Linked DNA regions of Oryctolagus cuniculus. The main gene of each other region encodes a partner of the protein of the gene in region 2 in a complex. Links are inferred from orthologs where the notes say so. Each region holds a gene or a part of one and is shown on either strand. Other genes may lie near its edges. The genes, in order: TMEM186 and ACAD9.

The links.
Region 1: ACAD9 (region 2) and TMEM186 share a complex: the UniProt entries of both Homo sapiens proteins name them as parts of the mitochondrial complex. The link is inferred for Oryctolagus cuniculus from reciprocal best matches to the Homo sapiens genes ACAD9 and TMEM186.

The regions. Positions count from the first base shown.
Region 1 is NC_091450.1:27,395,986-27,400,170, reverse strand, and holds TMEM186 (transmembrane protein 186), read right to left. Parts: upstream 2,897-4,185; 5' UTR 2,775-2,896; coding exon 2,772-2,774; intron 2,163-2,771; coding exon 1,524-2,162; 3' UTR 695-1,523; downstream 1-694. Other genes in the region: PMM2 (phosphomannomutase 2), read left to right, coding at 3,026-3,091. UniProt on the Homo sapiens protein: As part of the MCIA complex, required for efficient assembly of the mitochondrial complex I.
Region 2 is NC_091441.1:111,765,619-111,769,420, forward strand, and holds the end of ACAD9 (complex I assembly factor ACAD9, mitochondrial), read right to left. Parts: coding exon 3,737-3,802; intron 3,316-3,736; coding exon 3,187-3,315; intron 2,825-3,186; coding exon 2,752-2,824; intron 1,943-2,751; coding exon 1,842-1,942; 3' UTR 230-1,841; downstream 1-229. UniProt on the Homo sapiens protein: As part of the MCIA complex, primarily participates in the assembly of the mitochondrial complex I and therefore plays a role in oxidative phosphorylation.

The DNA.
Region 1 (4,185 bases), on a different chromosome or scaffold from region 2:
CGGAAGAAGCTCCTGACAGAGCTGGTCATTGTGGCCATTTGGAGTGTGAACCAGTGAGTGGGAGATCTTGTCTCTCCTTCTCTCTGTAACTCTGCCTCTCAAATAAATAATAAATCTTTAAAAAAGGGAAGGGGAGGGGGGAGGCAGGGAGGGGAGAGAACCTCTGGACATTGCAATGGGAATGTAACCCGGCATAGCCACTGTAAAAAGTCTGGCAGGTCCTCCAATGGTTAAACACAGAATTACCAGAGGACCTAGGAGTCCCACATCTTGGGATGCACCCAAAGGTGAAAATAATCCCAACGTCCCCCAGCACATGAACAGAGACAAACGTGGCAGTACACGGAACAATACCGTCCAGCTATAAGGAAGAATTACATGCCACTACACGCTACCCACACGTTGAAAACATCACACCAAGCCAACGAAGCCAGTCACGAAAGGGCACATACTGTGTGATTCCAGGCCATGCCATGTCCAGACAGGCAGATTCTAAGGCAGAAGGGGATTAGTGGCTGCCAACGGGAGAGCGAGTGCTGCTCTGTGGGTACAGAGGCCCTGGGATGGTGAAAAACTTCTGGGGGTGAACTGTGGGGGTGGTTACACCACACTGCAAATGTACTTACTGTCCCTGAACTGTACACTTAACATGGTTACAACGATACATTTGTGATGAGTACATGACAATGAAAACAGAGGTGATACGAAATTTATTGACTTATGCGTGGCAAAATCACGAAGACCTTTACCCTGCTACAAGCTACGTGGCCGACACACACACCGATCACGGGAGGCAACACGCAGAGGTAGAGCACTACACACACCCATCTGGCTCCATGACGCAGCGGGACGGCCTCGGCCTGTGGGTGCGGAACATCTCAGCTGGGGCGTCGCGCCTCACTCGGGGTGCAGTTACCATCCTGGGAGGGTGCAATGCCCCCGCCACGCTTCGTCCCACTCTTCTGCTAAGGGGTGCATGGAGAGGCAGAACACAGGGCTCCCGCGCGCTGCCTGAAAGCCCCGACCACCACCTCTGAGCAGACGCTTCCCAGTCGCCCAGGGCTACGGCCTTGCATGTTTACTGTGTGTTCTGACATCCAGCCCACGAGACAGAAAGAACTTTCCGTTTGACAGACGTGAGAAACCAAGGCTCACACAGACTCCGTCAGCTGCCCAGAACAGCGAGCTGACAGCACCCCAAACCCTGTGCTCCTCCCACATCTGTCTTCCAAATACCCGTGAACTGTCCGGGTGACCGTGGCATAGCTTCCTCCAAGAACTGGATCCGAACAGAACCTCCTGGCCATTATCTGCAAGAACAGCACGCGCAAGTGCAGGAAGAATCCGCACTCGGGCGCCTTCCCGTAAACCTGGGTCCGAATTTCTGTGTTCTTCCGAAAAGACAAACTCCCAGGGTTCTGACAGTCTCTAGGGGCCCGATTCCCTCCTTCGGCCTCGTCTACACCCTCAGCCTTCTTGGTTAGTGACCCAAGGGGCCCAGGGCTTCCCAGAGGCCCAGCTGATCACTTGAGCGAGTCCAGTCTCCCAAACACCTGTGTGAAGCGCTCTCTGTCCAGGACGCGCCCGTAGCGCAGAGGTAGGTAGAAGGTCTGCTTCCCGCTGTACTGCTGGATGCGCACAAACACCTCGTGGGGCCGGTCCCTCGTCTCCGTCAGGGGGACCACGTCCGCCACGGGGCAGTACGTGTCCTGTCGCCAGCCCCAGAAGGTGAGGTGAGCCACCCGCAGCACGGTGCCCGACTCGTTCACATACAGGATGCCTACGAGCCTGCGGAAGAAATGGCTCATCCAGCACAGCATGGCCAGGGCGAAGCCAGCTATGCCACCCACCAGGCACAGCGAGTCGAGCGGCATGAGGCCCTGGGAGTACCAGTAGAAGCCGGGCGGCAGAGCCACCAGCGTCAGGGCCGTCTGCGCCACCTTCAGCCGAGATATGTACCCAAACGCTCTGATGGCATCGAAACGGTAGACCATCTGGAACTTCTCGGTCTCTGTGCCCGGGGCTTTCTCCTCGGAACCGGGAGACCTGCTCCGCACCCACCTCTTGGGATCCTCTCGCCCACCGCAGGACCACAGCCCGCAGAGGGGCTTTCCCCAGGCGGCCGGCCCCCGCCACCTGGGCACAGCTCGGAGGAGGGCAGCCTGGAAGGGAGACAAGAGACCGTTTCCTCTCAGAACTCGGCTTCCACCTGCGTGAGTTCGTTAGGCTTTACCAACGGGCACTCAGAACACACTGAACGAGACAACGGTTTTTACGCCGTAAACGCAGCACCACTGTGCATCAGCACCGGCAGGGGCTTGGTTCCGGGATGCACGACAAGACACCCAAACCAGAGGGCTCACGTCTCTTATGCAAAATGGCACAGTGTTTGTGTGATACCTTATACCACTACTACGATGGAAACGCGGCGTAAAGAGTGGTTATGGGGGATTCCTTTGGGAGTAGCAAGAGCCCGTAGGCGTTCCGCACAGACGCAGCTGTCTCGGCAGCTGAGTGAATCCATGGATGGGGAGCGCACGGATAAGCAGCGCCGACTGCTCGGGGCCCACCCTGAGCACCCCCGCGAGGCTCGCTAGCACCGCTGCTGGCCCACGTGACCCCGCAAGACCACAGCAAGCCGTGGAGGAGCACATCGTAACCCACATCGGGGCAATCGCCCCAGGACCCAACAAACCAGAAGCTCAGGATTCCTGCCTGTTTGCCCCAACACTGGCTCCGACCCCGACGCAGCCCATCACCCTCCTCCTTACCATGGCCCTGCTCCCTGGCGCCGGATACAACCTCACCGCCGCCGGAAACTCTAAGGGCGCATGCTCGGACTACGCGCGTTGCATGCTGGGAGTTGTGGTGTAGCGTCCGTGGCCGACGCTAGCCCCGGGCATTGTGGGAGGCTGTGGGAGTCTCTTCCCGACGTGCTCTGCGGCGAAGAGGGCCGAACCCGGAAGTTCCGGGTCGAGGTCCGGGTGCCAACGAGTCGTCTCAGGTGTGGACGGAAACGGGGGCCATGGCAGCTCCGGGACCAGCGCTTTGCCTCTTCGACGTGGACGGGACCCTGACCGCCCCGCGGCAGGTAGGCGGCGCGCAGAGGGCTGGCGGCAGCCGGCACGGAGCACTTTCTGCTCCTAGACGGGACGAACGACCGTCCAGCTTGGGTGCCTGGGTGCAACTGAGGACCGCCTCCCGCCTCCAGGGGCTGCCCTTGGTCTGGGTGCCCCAGCGGCGGGAGACGGGCCTGAAGCAGCTCGTCAAGATCCCGGGGTGCTCGGAGAGGGAGGGCGGGGTCGGGAAACTTGGGTTAGAACAAGCAGCCCGTTCTCTGGCCGCGAGCCCTGAACCCCAGCCGAGGCCCCCTCAGCAGCTGTGTGACCTTCCCCGTCCCGTCGCGCGTGGCTGGACCTTGGAGCGAGATGCTGAAAGCGCAGGGTTCGGGCCGGCGCTGCGGCTGTTACTAGTTAAACATCCGTGTGCCTGCGGCGCCGGCATCCCATATGGGCGCCGGGTTGAGTCCCACCTGCTCCACTTCGGATCCGGCTCCCTGCTGATGGCCTGGGAAAGCTGCAGTGGACGGGCCCGGTCCTTGGGCCCCTGCACCCATGTGGGAGACCCGGAAGAAGCTCCTGGCTTCGGATCAGCGCAGCCGCGGCCCTTGCGGCCATTTAGGGAGTGAGCCCTTGGGTGGAAGACCCCCTCTCTCTATCTCGACCTCTCTCTGTCTGCAACTCTGCCCTCAAATAGATAAATCTTAAAGAAAGAAAGTGTAGATTTCCTAGTCCAGAGGACCTAGCGGAGCCTCAGCTTGGGCCAGTTAGCCCCAGCCGGAAGCGGGGACAGTGCTTGTTACGTGTCATCCGAATAGGACCAAATGCAAGGTGTCTGCTCGCAGTAGGCCTCCGTAAGCACGGGCCGTCTCCACCCGCCCTGTGCAGCCCCTGCCGGGGTCGGGGTCGGGGTCGGGGGGACGTCCTAGGTCGTCACAGGCAGCCTGGTGAGTCTCTGCACCCTTGGAAGCGTGCCCCCCGCGCTCAGATCTGCCTGCTGCGGGCGCGCGTACGTTTCAGCTACGATCAGCTTCGTGGCGAGGCTCTCCCTTGTACAGACTGGTCGCAGGAACACCAGCCATGGGAGGCAGCAGTCAGCACACACCTGTGGGTTGTTAAAAGCCCT
Region 2 (3,802 bases):
GCAGAGGGAAGCCATTTCAGAGGCTGCCCAGAGGAAGGAGGGTCTGACAGCCTCTCCACAGCCTCCCCTGCACACTGGCTCTGTGCAGCCTCCTTTCCACAGCACTGTCCACAGGAGACAGGAGCTCTGTTTGTGCAGTGCCTCCTTGCCACCGCTGCTTCCCAGCCGAAAGCAGAACTTCCGGCTTCACTGGGACATGACTTCCAGTGTCACCGTATTTATCAACTGATTTGTTTAAAAAAATTTATTTGTTTGTTTGAAAGGCAGGAGAGGGCGAGGGAAGGCTGGGGAGGGAGGGAGGTGGTGGGGTGGGGGAGAGGGAGAAGAGAGAGAGACAGAGAGATCCCTTGATCGATCTCCATCCACTGGTTTACTCCCACAGGGCCGCAGCAGCTGAGGCTGGGCCAGACTGGAGCCAAGGGCCTGGAACTCCATCCAGGTCTCCACATAAGCAGCAGGGACCCAAGCACTCAGCTCATCTTGTGCTGCTTTCCCAGGTACATGAACAGAGAGGTGACTGGAGCAAAGTAGTCAGGACTGGAACCAGAACAGCATGGAAGCAGGGGCCTCAAGTGGTGGCTTCACCAGCAGCACCGCAGCGCCGGCCCCCAACTTTCCTCTTTAAGATGAAACAGTTACGGTGGGGCCGGTGCGATGGCATAGCGGGTAATGCTGCTGCCTGTGGCACCAGCATCCCGGCTGCTCTACTTCTGATCCAGCTCCCTGCTAATGTGCCTGGGAAAGCAGTGGAAGATGGCCCAAGTGCTCAGGCGCCTGCACTCACGTGGGAGACCTGGAAGAAGCTCCTGGCTCCTGGCTTCGGATTGGTGCAGCTCCACGGCCATTTGAGGAGTGAACCAGCAGATGGAAGATCTTACTTTGTCTCCTTCTCTTTCTCTTTTTAATTCTGCCCTTCAAATAAATGAATAAATCATAAAAACAAAACAAAACAGATTAAAGTTACCCAGATCCTGGGAGCACACCAGCCCCACCAGGCCAACTCAGTGCTCCCACCTAGTGGCCCGTGCGCAGTCTCACAGCGTAGAGGAGTCTGAGCCCAGCCTGCCTCCCCCTCAGGGCAGCACCCACAGCAGGCTCTGCAGCCTCAGCACCCCCAGCTGCCAGCAGCAGCAGGAAGGAGCCCGAGGGAAGGCCAGCGCCTGCTGCTGCCACCTCAAGAGCCGCCCCGTGACCTCTGCGCACACGGGGAGCAGAGCCCCAGGTTGCAAGAGGTGGATGCTGCTGTGCACCGGGCAGCAGGTCCCCCGTCACCAGAGAAGGAGCCCATGGCCCGCGGCCCCGCAGCCCTGCACTGGGCACCAGCCCTTCAGTGCTCAGGCTGAGGACAAAGGTGGTCCATGCACTAAAGGCGGAGTCAGGAACCTCGTGATGAGCACAGCCAGAGCGCGAAGTCCTGCACATCGGGATGTTTTATGTTCTTCACTCCCTGGCTCCTGGTACATGCTGTCACTGCACTGCACTCCTAGTCTGAGTGAATGACACACACACAGCTGTCAACGTGTGGTCTCACAGGAAGGGCTCTTCACACCTGACACAGGTCCCCGCTAGCCCCAGGCAGCGAGGTGGCAGCACAGCCCCAGGTCCCCTGTGGTGGCTTCTAAACCATCGCAGGTGTCAGCTGTCCCGCGCCATGTGGAAGCCAGGCTCCTGCTGGACAGCGGCAGGACTTCCTCTGGCCAGAAGAGAGCCTTCCAGGTGCAGCCTGGGTATGAACGTTCCAGCCAGGCAACCCAGAGTTCTCCACCTCCTGGCAGGAGACAGCGGTGTGCAGCACTGGCCATGGCCTGGGGGCAGCGGCAGGAGGGGGAGCTGTCAGCACCTCAGGACGCCCTGTCCAGAGGGTGGGCACAGATGTACGCTCTCTTCTCCAGGATCTGCTGGGCCACTTTCTTAATCTGCTCATCTAGGTTTTCTGGTGCGTCTGGGAGGGAAGAGAGAGGGCGGTCATCTCTCTGTATCGTGATCACGTGGAACAAGCCAGGCGCTGGCAGTCAGCCCCCGCAGTGAGGCAGCCTCGGGCGCCCCTCCTCCACACCCAGGGACGCTTCTGGGCCACAGGAAAAGGGACAGAGGTTTCATTCTGAATAAAAAGGCCTCATCCTGTTCTTGTCTGAAAACCCCCCAGTCTGTGCGTCTCAATGAAGGCACATCCTCCTCCACAGCACGTGACCGCCCTGTAGGCCAGAGGGCAGCCACGCTCCACATCAAGGGACACAACGGTAGCAGCCTCTCCCCATCCTTGGCAACAGGGCTGATCCGAGTCTCCAGGCCAGTAGCTAGGAGGAGGAAGCACACCACAGGCGAACAGGAGCAGGCACACAGACCCATGTTCTCAGGGCCAGGGCCTGAGACAGGGCAGAGCTGTGGTGCGGTCTGGCTGGGGTGCAGGGGTGGAGGAGCTGGGTAAATGCTGTCTCCTGAGTCCAGTGCAGTGTGAGCCCTCCCAGGTAGCCACAAGAATGCGGCAGGCCTGCTCAGTGGACGCCAGCAGGGCCAGCACAGAGGCTGTGTGTGAGGGCCCTGCTCCATACAGAATAGCCACGGTGACAGGTGACAGGTGACAGGTGAGGTTCACCTGTGTGTGCTTCTGCCGTGCAGGTGCTGTCGCACAGAAGCCCAGGCCTGGCGCAGGCTCTCCTCAAGGCAGAAGCTTGTGAGCAGGCAGCAGGCCCCAGGAACAGCTCCCCGGAGCCAGGCCCTTCCCCCGCTCCCCGCGGCCGCCCCACTTACGCTTGTCCAGCTGAGACAGGCTCAGGAGGTTCTGCAGATGAGCTTCCATGCAGAATGTGTTGGCCAGCAGGACCTGCCGGAGTGAGGTCAGCAAGCCTGAGCACCGAGCGCTGGGGCACGGCCTGAGCTGCAGCCTCTTGGCCATAGGGGGCTCCTGGCCCAGTGCACAGGGCCTGCCCAGTGCCCTCATCCACCTCCCTACAGCATGGACAGGCATTTGGGCTGAGAGCTCTTGTTTGGGGGCCCTGCCCCTTGCCCCCTCTCTTCTCTCAGGCAGGAGATGACGGAGTGGCCGAGCACAGCGCCCCCAGGCCACACCTGCAGGTCTCTGGGACTCCCCCTCCCGCTCAGTGACCAGCATGTGGTCGTGGCCTCCTGGGACTCCCCGACAGCGCCCCCTTCCCAGCCTCAGCTAGAGGGCTGCCAGGGCCTCACCTCATGGTCGTGATTGCGGAGCCCGAGGCGGATGGCGCGGCTGGCCCGGGACAGCACGGCCGTCATGCCGTACAGGTTGATGAGGATGTTGGCCACACGCTTCAGCAGCAACTGCTCCTCCACGATGGTCTGCAGACAAGGGCTGAGTGCAGAGCCTGCCCCTGCCCTGCTGCCTCCCCTGGACCCATCTCCCTCGCCCCACACGTGGCTTTGTTGAAGTCTGTTCTTGGGTAAAGTAGGGCCCAGAATCCATTTCCCCTAGGGTTGCAGGAGGTGGGGTCACAGCAACCTTCCATCTTCCTTGTTCTCTGCTCTGTGCAGATTCGGGAAGGGGCCACGGCCAAGGTCCAGAAACTGGGCTGGGCCACAGGCAGGGTTGCCCTCCCCTCACCTAAAAGGTGCCAGGGAGAAGAGCCTGGAAAGCTCACCCAGCAGGTGAGTGGTTGCTTGGCAGCATAGATGCAGCCACACCCGTGGGGCAGAGGCCTGTCCCAGGCCTGCTCCCAAAGCCCCTGCACAAACTGGCTTCCTGGCCAAGGGGCCTGCCTACCTTGCCAAAGCGTAGCAGCAGCGTCTCAACAGTGCGGCCAAAGTAATACACGTTCTCCTCGAGCTT